3 linked regions of the Drosophila melanogaster genome follow. The protein of the gene in region 3 purifies or fractionates together with the protein of the main gene of each other region. This does not show direct contact. Each region holds a gene or a part of one and is shown on either strand. Other genes may lie near its edges. The genes, in order: Akap200, GstE6 and Stip1.

Region 1 (3,754 bases), 8.1 Mb from region 3:
AGTTACTGGTGCGGTGACAGCTGCTGGGGTGGAGATCAGTGATAAGCCGCTGCCAAATCCATTGATCGCCTTTGATGAACCCGCCGGTCCCACGGGACTTCGCGGCTGATCAAGATCCAGCACTATATAGTTTACTCCGCAGCTGCCCGCTAAGCTGGTGGGCGTGGCCGGCTCTTGATTGGAAATTGGTTCCCTCGGCAGCAGAGGGAGCTCCAAGCGATTTACGTTCTCATAGCAGCGCTCATTGTTCAGATCAAAGATCAGAGCTTCCACATTGGCGTACATGTGCACAGCATCGTTGGGACTCAGAACTGGAGCTGGTGCTGGGGCCGATTCCAGAGGTGGCAAGTCCATCGTGCGCCTACGTGATGTCAACCTATTGCCGGAGGGCGGGGTGGAAAGCAAATCCGAGGCGGTGCCTTCCAGACAACAGTCCTGCAAAGCCCGCAATGGCTGATCCAAATAGGCACTGGGTATCAGGACTGGTGATTGCAAATTGGGCGGAGAGTCATCGACTTGCGAATCGTTGGCCTGCAGCGGATACGATGCACTTGTGCTCGAGGGCTCACTGTGGAAGTTGCCCAACTGGCGGCTCATTAGGGGAGCCGGCTCTAGATAGTTATTGCCCTCAGTACGGCCCATATTTACGGACACCGAATGAGCGGAGTTAACCCTTTCTCGTTCGCCCTGCACAAAGGCATCTGTATTCACCGCGTTGATGTAGCGCTGAAACATCGGATACAGCTGCTCGGCATTGTGGACTCGAAACGTGTAGATCCCTGGCCCAGACATACACCTACGTCCTGCTTCGAAGGAGAAGAGATCGTTATTCAACCCATAACGTCGGAGGTGTTGCAGTGCCCAGACAATGGGCTCACAGCCAGGCGACTGGAATATTAGTTCCCGGGGCGTTAGCTCCAGGTAGCCACTCCGGATGATGGGCGTACCCGGGGTGGGTTGCAGGTGAGCCACTCGCACTCGAAACACATTCTCATGACCGCGCAGCTCATTTAACTTGCTGCTGCTGGTGATGCAGCCCATGGTGTTGCACTGAAAGACGGAGTATTATGCATTGAAGGATTATCCACTCCAGTCATGTACAGTGCCTATTGAAATGCACACCTGGACAGGCAAGTCCGCCTGGCTGTTATCGCAGCGGGCATGGAAGAAATCGCAGGCCGATAAGAGCACCACCCACCGCCTCCACCAGCTGAAATCAGCTACCCAGTGGAACTGGAGGCTCTGGGGTGCAGTCGAATTGTGTTGCTGTTATCCTGGTTGACTCCTCCTGCTTTGGTTAACTCCTGATCGACGGGACTGCTGGCTGATTGTTGTTATTTGGCCACGGAAATTCCGTTCTTGTGGTATAAAATTTCTTCTGCGACTTTTCCCCTCGCCCGACAGAACGCAATTGTGAGCAACGGGCATGCTAACTTGATTTTCGCAAAAAGACTTACAAGAAACGCTTTTTAAAAAAGTAAACGGAAAATCAAAGACAAATTACAAGTAATTACACTTAAAGAATGAAAAACTAGTTTAGCCAAGTTTAAGCCAAGGAAATATTAATATTTCAAAATTTATAGAAAAATATTGCAAATGTCAGCTTAATAGAAGTTTTCTCTCGTTTAATAGAATAATCTTGAAGATTTCTTACGTCGTAATTTTTACGTTTCTGCAAATGTTTACTGCAATTAACAAGTAATAAATAGGATTCAGATGTAAACAAATATAATTTATAAAAAAATTTTAAGTTAAGGCATTTTAGTCATCTTAATTGTATGGTTAACCATTTGGCGGAACATCAACTTTGTGGACAGCACTATAACTAGACCCGAAGCCCTAACGCGTTCTAACTGCGAAAACATCCTAACGCGACGTAAATACCAGACCCGAGCGGACATTTTTTATTTGTGGAGCGCGCAACAAGAACGAGAAAAGAAACCGAAACGGAAAGCAGGCAAAAAGAGCTGCTGCCAGTGTAGAATCGCAAAGCAAAGAAAGAAGCAAGTGCGTGTGTTTTTAAACCGAAACCGAGAGAATCGAGCCAGGTAAATTCCACTTTAAGTCATAAGATCAGAACATAAAGGAGTTAATTTAAAAAAATAAATGAAAAAGAAACCAAAGCCAAGCAGGCAGACGGCTTGCGTGTGTGTGTGTGCGTGAGTGGTGCTACTTTTGAAATTCTCTATACCCGCTTTGAATTTCGTGTTTGTTTAAAGGAATTGTGATTGAAAAGGAGACAAAGAGTTATTGACGAAAAGTTTCTAACTGGTTTCAAAAATGGTAACTGTATTTGAGGCACAAGTGTTTGTAAAAGAGACGCCCGCCGACGCTCACACACACAGGCAGGAAAAAGGACGCCATGGAAGGCGGCTTAGTGTGCGTGAACGGTGAAGAATGGGAGAAGCGAAGACTAAAAGAGATATTTAAATGGAGTTTTATGCATTTAAGGAGAACTTTCTTTGTCATTAACCCCGCCCCCGCAAAATACAGCATTCGAATTTCGCCACCTTGGAGTAGTTGCCTTTTTACAAAATTTTTGGGTGTGCCGCCTTCAATGCGTCGGCGTTGCCACCACGTCGGCGTCCGCAGCAGCAGCGCAGGCAGTGACGGCGGCAGAGGCAAACACCATGCCGGTGTGGCTTTGTATCCGTATCCGTCTCGCTCTCTCTCTCTCTCTTTGTCTCTTCGGCTCAATCTAGCGCTCTCTCCTTTTTGTGCCTCGCCTTCCTTCGCCTCGCCCGCTCATCGCTCTGGTCCTTTGTGCCATCGCTTCGCCTTGACTTCTGGTTCATTGTCGTTGTCTCCTCTTTGTTTGCATTGTACGCCTGATTACACTTGCCAACATGTTTCTACCTTCTCAGCCAAACATCCTTGTGCAAGGTGCACGCACATAGCGAGTGCCCACTGTGGCCATTTGATCTTTGTATACGTTTCGATCCCTTTTGCGTCTCGGTTTACTCAGATTATCGATACGAGGAGGATCGTCTTTTTGTTTTTCCTACACTTTTGTTGCGAAAAACTGCGTCGCACTTTCTGCAGCGTCGGTTTGTCAGTTCGTCCGTCCGTCCGTCACTCAGTCGTTCAATCGCTCAATCGCAGACGGGCAGACAGCCACCGCCCTAACTGGCGTCGCCTACATGTCTTTGTGTGTGTGGTGTATGTGCTTGCGTGCCTGGGGTAGTGTGCCTGTGTGCGTGCCTCGCTGCATGTGTGAGTCCTTTACGAATGGAGTGGGTGGGCAGAGGCCGAGGAGGAAGAAGCAGAAGCGCAATCACAAGATTTTCGATTGTCAACTGCAATTTATACTACTGCTAAGAGAATTTTATGATCTACTTGCAACGCTGAATGCTAATGCCTTAAATTTTAGTAGCCTCTGTCAAGGATCTTAAATTCAAGTTCTTGTCACAATCATATTTCTTAAGTATATAATTACTTTTATTGTTAAATATTTGTACTGTACTTAATACGTAAAACGTATTTGACAAGTGAAATTTCATGATTGCTCTACTGAAATCTTTTCTTTGAAAATGAATGCTCTTCTTTGTGTTCTAACCTGACCAAATTTATTTGTCAGTGACCCAATTTAGGCACCAAAACTGTAAATATTTCCGAAAATCTTATCAATTTGCCTGTTGAAAATTTGATTAGGAATGGAGTTTGCATTCTGAATTTTCCCCACTCCCGAAATTTGAGCAAATTGAATTATTTCGCTGCGATTTCAGGTAGCGGTCGCCAACCGAATGTATCTTTG
Region 2 (3,405 bases), on a different chromosome or scaffold from region 3:
CAATAATCGCATCGTAACGCTCCTTGGGAATCATCGTTTGCTTACCGGCGAAAAGTGGCTTGGTAATGCTTCTCAGTGCATTAGCGAAGATCACTCCGGACTCGAAATGCAATCGCTGATCCACGACAGCACGCTGGAGGAGATCTTTCGGATAGAGACTGTCCGTTTTGCCGTATTTGGACACCAGATAGGCAATAATGGCATGTGAGTCCCAGATATAATGTCCATCGTCCTCCAACGTGGGCACCGTGTGCTGTGGATTCTTCTTCAGAAACTCCTCAGAGAAGTTTTCCTTGGCCCGAGTGTTTACCTCCACGAATTCGTAGGGAACCTCCAGGGCAGCCAAGGTCAATTTGACGGCACGAACTGGTGGACTTGCCTCCAAGCCGTACAGTATCAATTTGGGCATCTTGTCGCTGGGTAGAGTCTCGTCTATTACTAAACGTCAACAGCGAAGAGTCACTATATTTATAGAATTTCGAAAGAGAGTAATTAAGAGAAGCGAGAGCAGTAGATAAGAAAGTCAGTTAGGTTTTTGCTCTCGCCTCTTCTATTCATTTGTGTCCAAATCAATTATTTCACCACAAAAATTCAAAAGCTCTAGAGTTTTCTAAGCAATTATTTATTGTGACTATATAAACTGTAAAATAATATCATGCTTCGAATGTGAAATTGGTCTTCTTGAAAATGGCCACCAACTGGCGGACGCCCTTGCCATTGGCTTCCTCGTAGTATGGAAGCTGTTCCAGCTTTTTGATCCAAGCACCGATCCTGGGATACTTAGTCGTATCCAAGGCCACGAAGGCCTCAAGGGAGGCCACCGATGAAACGAGACTGAAATCCGCAATGGTCAGTTGATTGCCAGCAATGTAATCCTGTCCCTTGAGAAAAGTTTCCACAAAATCGTAGATCTCGATAATGGCATCGTATCGCTCCTTGGGTACTTTCGTCTGTCCCTGGAAGAGCACTGACTTCGATATGCTCCTTATGCCATTGGCAAAGACCACTCCGGATTCAAAGTGCAGCCGCTGATCCACAACAGCCCGCTTGAGAGGATCTTTCGGGTATAGGGCATCGGAATCGGCATATTTCGAGACCAAATAGGCAATAATGGCATGCGAATCCCAGATGTAGTGACCGTCATCCTCCAGGGTGGGCACCGTATGCTGTGGATTCTTCTCCAGATATTCCGGTGAAAGTTGGGCACGAGCCACAATGTCAACGTTTACATATTCGTAGGTTAGGTTTAGAGCGGCCAAAGTAAGCTTAACAGCGCGAACTGGGGGACTGGGGTCCAAACCGTATAAAGTCAATTTCACCATCTTGTCGCTGTGGGGTCTCTTTTCAAACTAACCCATAACTGCCGAATAACTAATATAATATACAAAACTTGGGATCAATGAAAGAGAAAATTTAAGAGAGATTCCGTGTACTTGAAAAAATCTCTATATTTACTGCACTTTACAAGTCAATAATAATATGTATGAATGTGAATATATGTCTAATCATGCATACATATGTATATCTTTGTCATACTAGAATATTCTAGTGTCTTTGGTCATACAAACCCAAATTTTTAAGTATCCTCCTACTCTTTTGAACTCACTTTACTTTTCTTTTTATGTTTATTTTTAACCTATCCCAACATCTAAAATAAAAAAAAAACTGATTAAAAGTATTTTAGCGCGAACATATGAGAGCACTATATGAATCACAAACATAGAACAACAAGTATTCTGTGATAACCGCTTATCATATGTGAAAATGATTACACAGTACTCGGGCAGAAAATACAAGTCATGCTGACAGAGGTTAATAAAATGGAAAGCCCTCGAAAATGTTTGTTGCCGGCAAGAATATATATATTATCTATGTATGTAGCGACATTCTGTAATAGGTTCTCTGTGTACTTAATACACATTTCATTCTCTTGCTACTTTAATGGAACTAACTAAGTTCTCTTGTTTCCTACAGCGATATTTCTCTTAAATCTAAAATATAAAGAGATAAAAAACCGCAATATTTACAAGTTTCCAAATTATTTATTATAATTTCAGAACTCTAGGTTGCAAAGGTGAAATTAGTGGACTTTAGAATGGTCTCCAACTCCCGGGCTCCCTTCGCATTGGCCTCCTCGTAGTAAGGCAGCTTCTCCAAACGCCTGACCCATTCGATGATCCTGGGATATTTCAACCTATCGATCTCCACGAACGCCACCAGCGAGGTAATCGACGAGATCAGGCTAAAATCGGCAATGGTCAACTGATCCCCAGCAATGTAATCATGTCCAGCGAGGAAGGTCTCCACAAAGTCATAGATCTCGACAATGGCATCGTAGCGTTCCTTGGGAATCCTGTTCAGGCCATTAAAGAATAACGGCTTGGTAATGGCCTTAATGCCATTGGCGAAAACCACTCCTGTCTCGAAGTGCAGTCGTTGATCCACCACAGCTCGCTGGAGCAGATCTCTGGGATACAGGGCATCCGAATCTGCATATTTGGACACCAGATACGCGATAATGGCATGCGAGTCCCAAATGTAGTTACCATCATCCTCCAGTGTTGGCACCGTGTGCTCTGGATTCTTTTTTAGATATTCCTCAGAAAGCTGCTCCTGACCCGAAATATTAACGTTTACAAACTCATAGGGCAGCTGGAGGGCAGCCAGAGTGAGTTTGACGGCACGAACTGGTGGACTGGGATTCACACCATATAGAGTTAACTTGACCATGTTTGCACTTTGAGTTAACGTTCTCTACTGACTGATTCTTGGGATCGAGCGCGTACAAATGTTGTTACCAAATGGAAAGGTTAAGAGAGCATGGCTAAGAGACATTTCTAAGAGAATTTTTGTTGGTTCTTGTTGATTGGTCCTTTAAGAGTTGATTCGTGTAGAGAATAACATAAGTTTCAATGAAACATTAAAAATTTGTGTAATTACAAATTCTGTAGATACTGTTCTGCTTAAATTATGCAATCATTTGATACGGTCTAACGGTTCGTCGAACGATAATCGAAATTGTTTAAGTACTTTCGTGAAAACAATCTAGAACTGACTCACTCAAATAATACTTTCGTGATTGTTGATAACAAGCTATCAAGTTGGTTTGCCATGATTCAAGTAAACATGTTAAAGACCTCGAACAAGTGGATAAGGTATTGTATGTCATGCAACAACTTCTATAGAACAATGGAAAAATACAGAAACTAATCCCCAGATAAACTAACCACCAGGCAAACTAGCCCACAGGTAACTAAAAGTAATAACAATACCTTTTAGGGGGGTGCTTTGCCTATTTAATTGCATAATTTGAACACAAAACAAAGAACATTTTTTTTTGTTTGCTAATATCAATTCTGTGAAAGCGATAATTTCCAATTAAAATGTTAAGCCATTTACTGTCGA
Region 3 (3,754 bases):
AATTTTATTATTATGAATGTATGTATAGTAAATTACAATTCTAATGGGCGCTCGGTAAAATATTTCGCGGGGGGTTTGTACATAGGTGGTGGAACTCCCCATCGTCATTTTCCTCCTCCTCCTTCCATCTCGTTTACTCAAAAGTGATATAAAAACGTGGAAAACCAACGCAGAGACTAAAATACACGATGCTTTGCGTTACTGCTTGTCCGTTGCTTTCTCTCTCAATTGCCACCGTACAGAAAAAATGTCCAGAATATTTAATACCGTCCACCACCACCACCGCCTCCTCCGCCACCACCTTTGCGGCGATCGCGATCGTTTCCGCGATCATTGCCACGCATGTTGTCCCGCTCGTTGTTCAAGTAGTTTCCTCCGCCGACACCGTCGCCTCTGCCGCCTCCTCTTCGACCCGGGGATCGGGACCTGCTGCGGGAGCCGCGACGGCGTCCAGGGGATCGGGAACGGGAGCGGGCACGACGGCGGCGGGAGTAGAGGTACCTTCGCAGCTCACGCGAGATGGGCTTCAAGTGCATGAAGTTGCAGAAGCCGGAGCGGGTACATTCGCCCATCTCGTACTGCCGACAGCAAGCCTCGCGGAAGTCGGTCACCGGCGATAGTTCCGAGTACACCGGTCGACCACCGAACCACCGGTTGTTCAAATCGTTTGCCGCCTTTTCCGCATCAGCCTCGTTACGGAATTTGATGTACACATTGCCGACCAGATGGTCGCCTAGGTTGTCGCACACGTTCATCTCCTCGATTTCCCCGTACTTGTCCTCGCACTCTACGAACACGTCCTCGAAAAAATTGTCGTAGTGTTCTTGCATCTCCTCGTCGGAGACGTTGGCCACCAGATGGGAGCCATCCGCGGATTTGGCGGAGTTTTGGGGGTTCACGTATAGATTTTGGAGAAGCACCGTCTGCGAGAAAGTGGGTTTGTTGTGGATGCGAGAGCACCGGTCGCCGTGGCGGCAGGCGCCGATCTTGAAGTAGAACGAACAGTTCACCCTGGGAAATGCAACGCCATTTAGTTATTAATCCCGGCAACGTTAAAATAAATGTGCCATGCGACTTACTTGTCCTTTTCCGTGCCAAAAATGGATGCCAAGTACTCGGCCATGCTGGCGGCTTTACTGTGGTGTTGCTGTGGCCAAAATGTGTAACTTATCTACCCGCTTGTCTCTGCAACGCGGTCAAACTGCAATTATGTTAGCCGCCTGTTTATTTAGTGATAATTTTCAATTATTTTCGGAAACCGAAAAAAGCAGCGTCTGGTCGTATTTTGCACGGCGTTGCCAGCCTCGAATCTAGAGTTGCAAATAAAATCGATGATTAGTTATCGATATTTAGTGTTTTTGGCAGCATCGTTTTTCGATACCTCTGTTCTTAATTTAAATGTTTTAAAATATGCTAACATTTTAAATATTAATTTCAAATATTTAAATATTAATGCACTTAAAAGCCTGAGGACTTATTTTTCATTTGACTAGAAAAATTTTACAATTCAAAATAAGAAATTGAGAAAATTATTTACGCAAATAATAATATAATATAAACATAAATAAACAATACAATAAAATAACATTTAAATTCTATAAAGCTCAAGGTATTATTTATATTTGATCAACAATTTTTTTAATTTATATAAGCAATGGAAAAAATTATTTAAGAAGGCTTGCTGGTTTTGTTCCCCGCTTGAGAACGAGCTAAGTTCTAAACCGCAGTCTGGAAAAAGATTAAATTCAGTCGCAGAAGCATTGACAACCCTATCGATTGCTTCTAGAAAAGTCGGCATTTTTCGCATTTTCACCTGGCACGGCACATTTCGCAGCGTGTTTTATTAAAAAGTCGTACAAAAATACAGGAAAAACTGTAATTCGACAGCGCTATCCTCTCCCTTATCAGAAATGGACAAGGTAAGTGCCCGAGACAAAGGAAAGGCGTTGGCATTTCCAATCAAAAACCCTTGCGGTTTTCGCAGGTGAACGAACTCAAGGAAAAGGGTAACCAGGCGCTCAGTGCCGAGAAGTTCGACGAGGCGGTGGCGGCGTACACAGAGGCCATCGCTCTGGACGACCAGAACCATGTGCTCTACAGCAACCGTTCGGCGGCATTCGCCAAGGCTGGAAAGTTCCAGGAGGCGCTAGAAGATGCGGAGAAGACCATTCAGCTTAATCCCACCTGGCCTAAGGGTTACTCACGCAAAGGAGCTGCCGCTGCGGGTCTGAATGACTTTATGAAGGCCTTCGAAGCGTACAACGAGGGTAAGTTCAAACACAGCTCAGTTATATGCCATGAATCACCCGACCTAACCTCACTAACCTCGGTTACCGGCGCAGGTCTCAAGTACGATCCCACGAATGCTATACTCCTGCAAGGCCGCATGGAAACTACTGCCTCGGCTCTGAGCTTTATGCAATCGCAGGGGGATATACCCATGGACGTTGATCCCCAGCAGGCACGCAGCCGCAGGGCTCCATCGCCACCGCCGGCGAAACCGGCTGAGCCCCCAAAGCCCGCTGAACCTCGGGTAGAGGACATGACTGAGGAGCAGAAGAATAAGTACTTCGCGAGGAAGGAGAAGGAACTGGGCAACGCCGCCTACAAGAAAAAGGACTTTGAAACGGCCCTAAAACACTACCACGCTGCCATTGAACACGATCCCACGGATATCACGTTCTATAACAACATAGCTGCTGTTCACTTTGAGCGCAAGGAGTACGAGGAGTGCATCAAGCAGTGCGAGAAGGGCATTGAGGTGGGGCGCGAAAGCCGCGCCGACTTTAAGCTGATAGCTAAGTCCTTTGCTCGCATCGGTAACACCTATCGTAAGCTAGAGAACTACAAGCAGGCGAAGGTTTACTATGAGAAGGCCATGTCCGAGCATCGCACCCCTGAGATCAAGACCTCGCTGAGCGAGGTGGAAGCCAAAATCAAGGAGGAGGAGCGAATGGCCTACATCAATCCGGAGAAGGCCGAGGAAGAGAAGGAGCAGGGCAACCTTTTCTTTAAGAAGGGGGACTACAGCACCGCTGTAAAGCACTACACCGAGGCCATCAAGCGCAATCCGGATGATCCCAAACTCTATAGTAACCGCGCCGCCTGCTACACCAAGCTGGCCGCCTTTGATCTGGGCCTCAAGGACTGCGACACTTGCATCAAGCTAGACGAAAAGTTCATAAAGGGCTACATCCGCAAGGGCAAAATTCTACAGGGCATGCAGCAACAATCTAAGGCGCAAGCCGCTTACCAAAAGGCCCTGGAACTGGACCCCAACAACGCGGAGGCCATTGAAGGCTACCGTCAGTGTTCGATGAACTTCCAGCGCAATCCGCAGGAGGTCCTCAAAAACGCAATGTCCGACCCGGAGATTCAACAGATCTTAAAGGATCCGGCTATGCGTATGATCCTCGAGCAGATGCAAAGCGATCCCAATGCGGTCAAAGAGTAAGTACCCGTTTGGCTTTATTCGTTCGCTTTTTTGGGTTTCATTGGTAAAATCTAGAAATTAATAGCCCATTTGAAGTTAACAAGCAGACTTACGTTTCTTTGGTCTTATATATTATTAACAACCTGTATACTATATTTTAATTAACAACCTCTATATTTCAGACACTTGCAGAATCCTGCCATCGCCGATAAGATAATGAAACTGCTGGAGTCGGGCATCATTCAGATTCACTAGGCACTCCAGATCCACAAACGAACATCCTCATACAATCACTAACTCACACACAAACCCCATTGATAA

Evidence for each region.
Region 1: the proteins of Stip1 (region 3) and Akap200 purify together in Drosophila melanogaster (affinity purification with mass spectrometry, with the first as the bait; one large-scale study listed by BioGRID). This does not show direct contact.
Region 2: the proteins of Stip1 (region 3) and GstE6 purify together in Drosophila melanogaster (affinity purification with mass spectrometry, with the first as the bait; one large-scale study listed by BioGRID). This does not show direct contact.

Annotation. Positions count from the first base shown.
Region 1 is NT_033779.5:8,413,839-8,417,592, forward strand, and holds the start of Akap200 (A kinase anchor protein 200), read left to right. Parts: upstream 1-1,851; 5' UTR 1,852-2,048; intron 2,049-3,754. Other genes in the region: CG13398 (uncharacterized protein), read right to left, coding at 1-1,041. UniProt on the Drosophila melanogaster protein: Scaffolding protein involved in the regulation of PKA signaling and anchoring to the actin cytoskeleton integrating signals propagated by cAMP, diacylglycerol and calcium.
Region 2 is NT_033778.4:18,403,959-18,407,363, reverse strand, and holds GstE6 (glutathione S transferase E6), read right to left. Parts: upstream 1,354-3,405; 5' UTR 1,323-1,353; coding exon 654-1,322; 3' UTR 603-653; downstream 1-602. Other genes in the region: GstE7 (glutathione S transferase E7), read right to left, coding at 1-409; GstE5 (glutathione S transferase E5), read right to left, coding at 2,062-2,730.
Region 3 is NT_033779.5:293,362-297,115, forward strand, and holds the start of Stip1 (stress induced phosphoprotein 1), read left to right. Parts: upstream 1-1,760; 5' UTR 1,761-1,910; coding exon 1,911-1,919; intron 1,920-1,984; coding exon 1,985-2,267; intron 2,268-2,342; coding exon 2,343-3,450; intron 3,451-3,615; coding exon 3,616-3,688; 3' UTR 3,689-3,754. Other genes in the region: U2af38 (U2 small nuclear riboprotein auxiliary factor 38), read right to left, coding at 261-1,011, 1,080-1,123.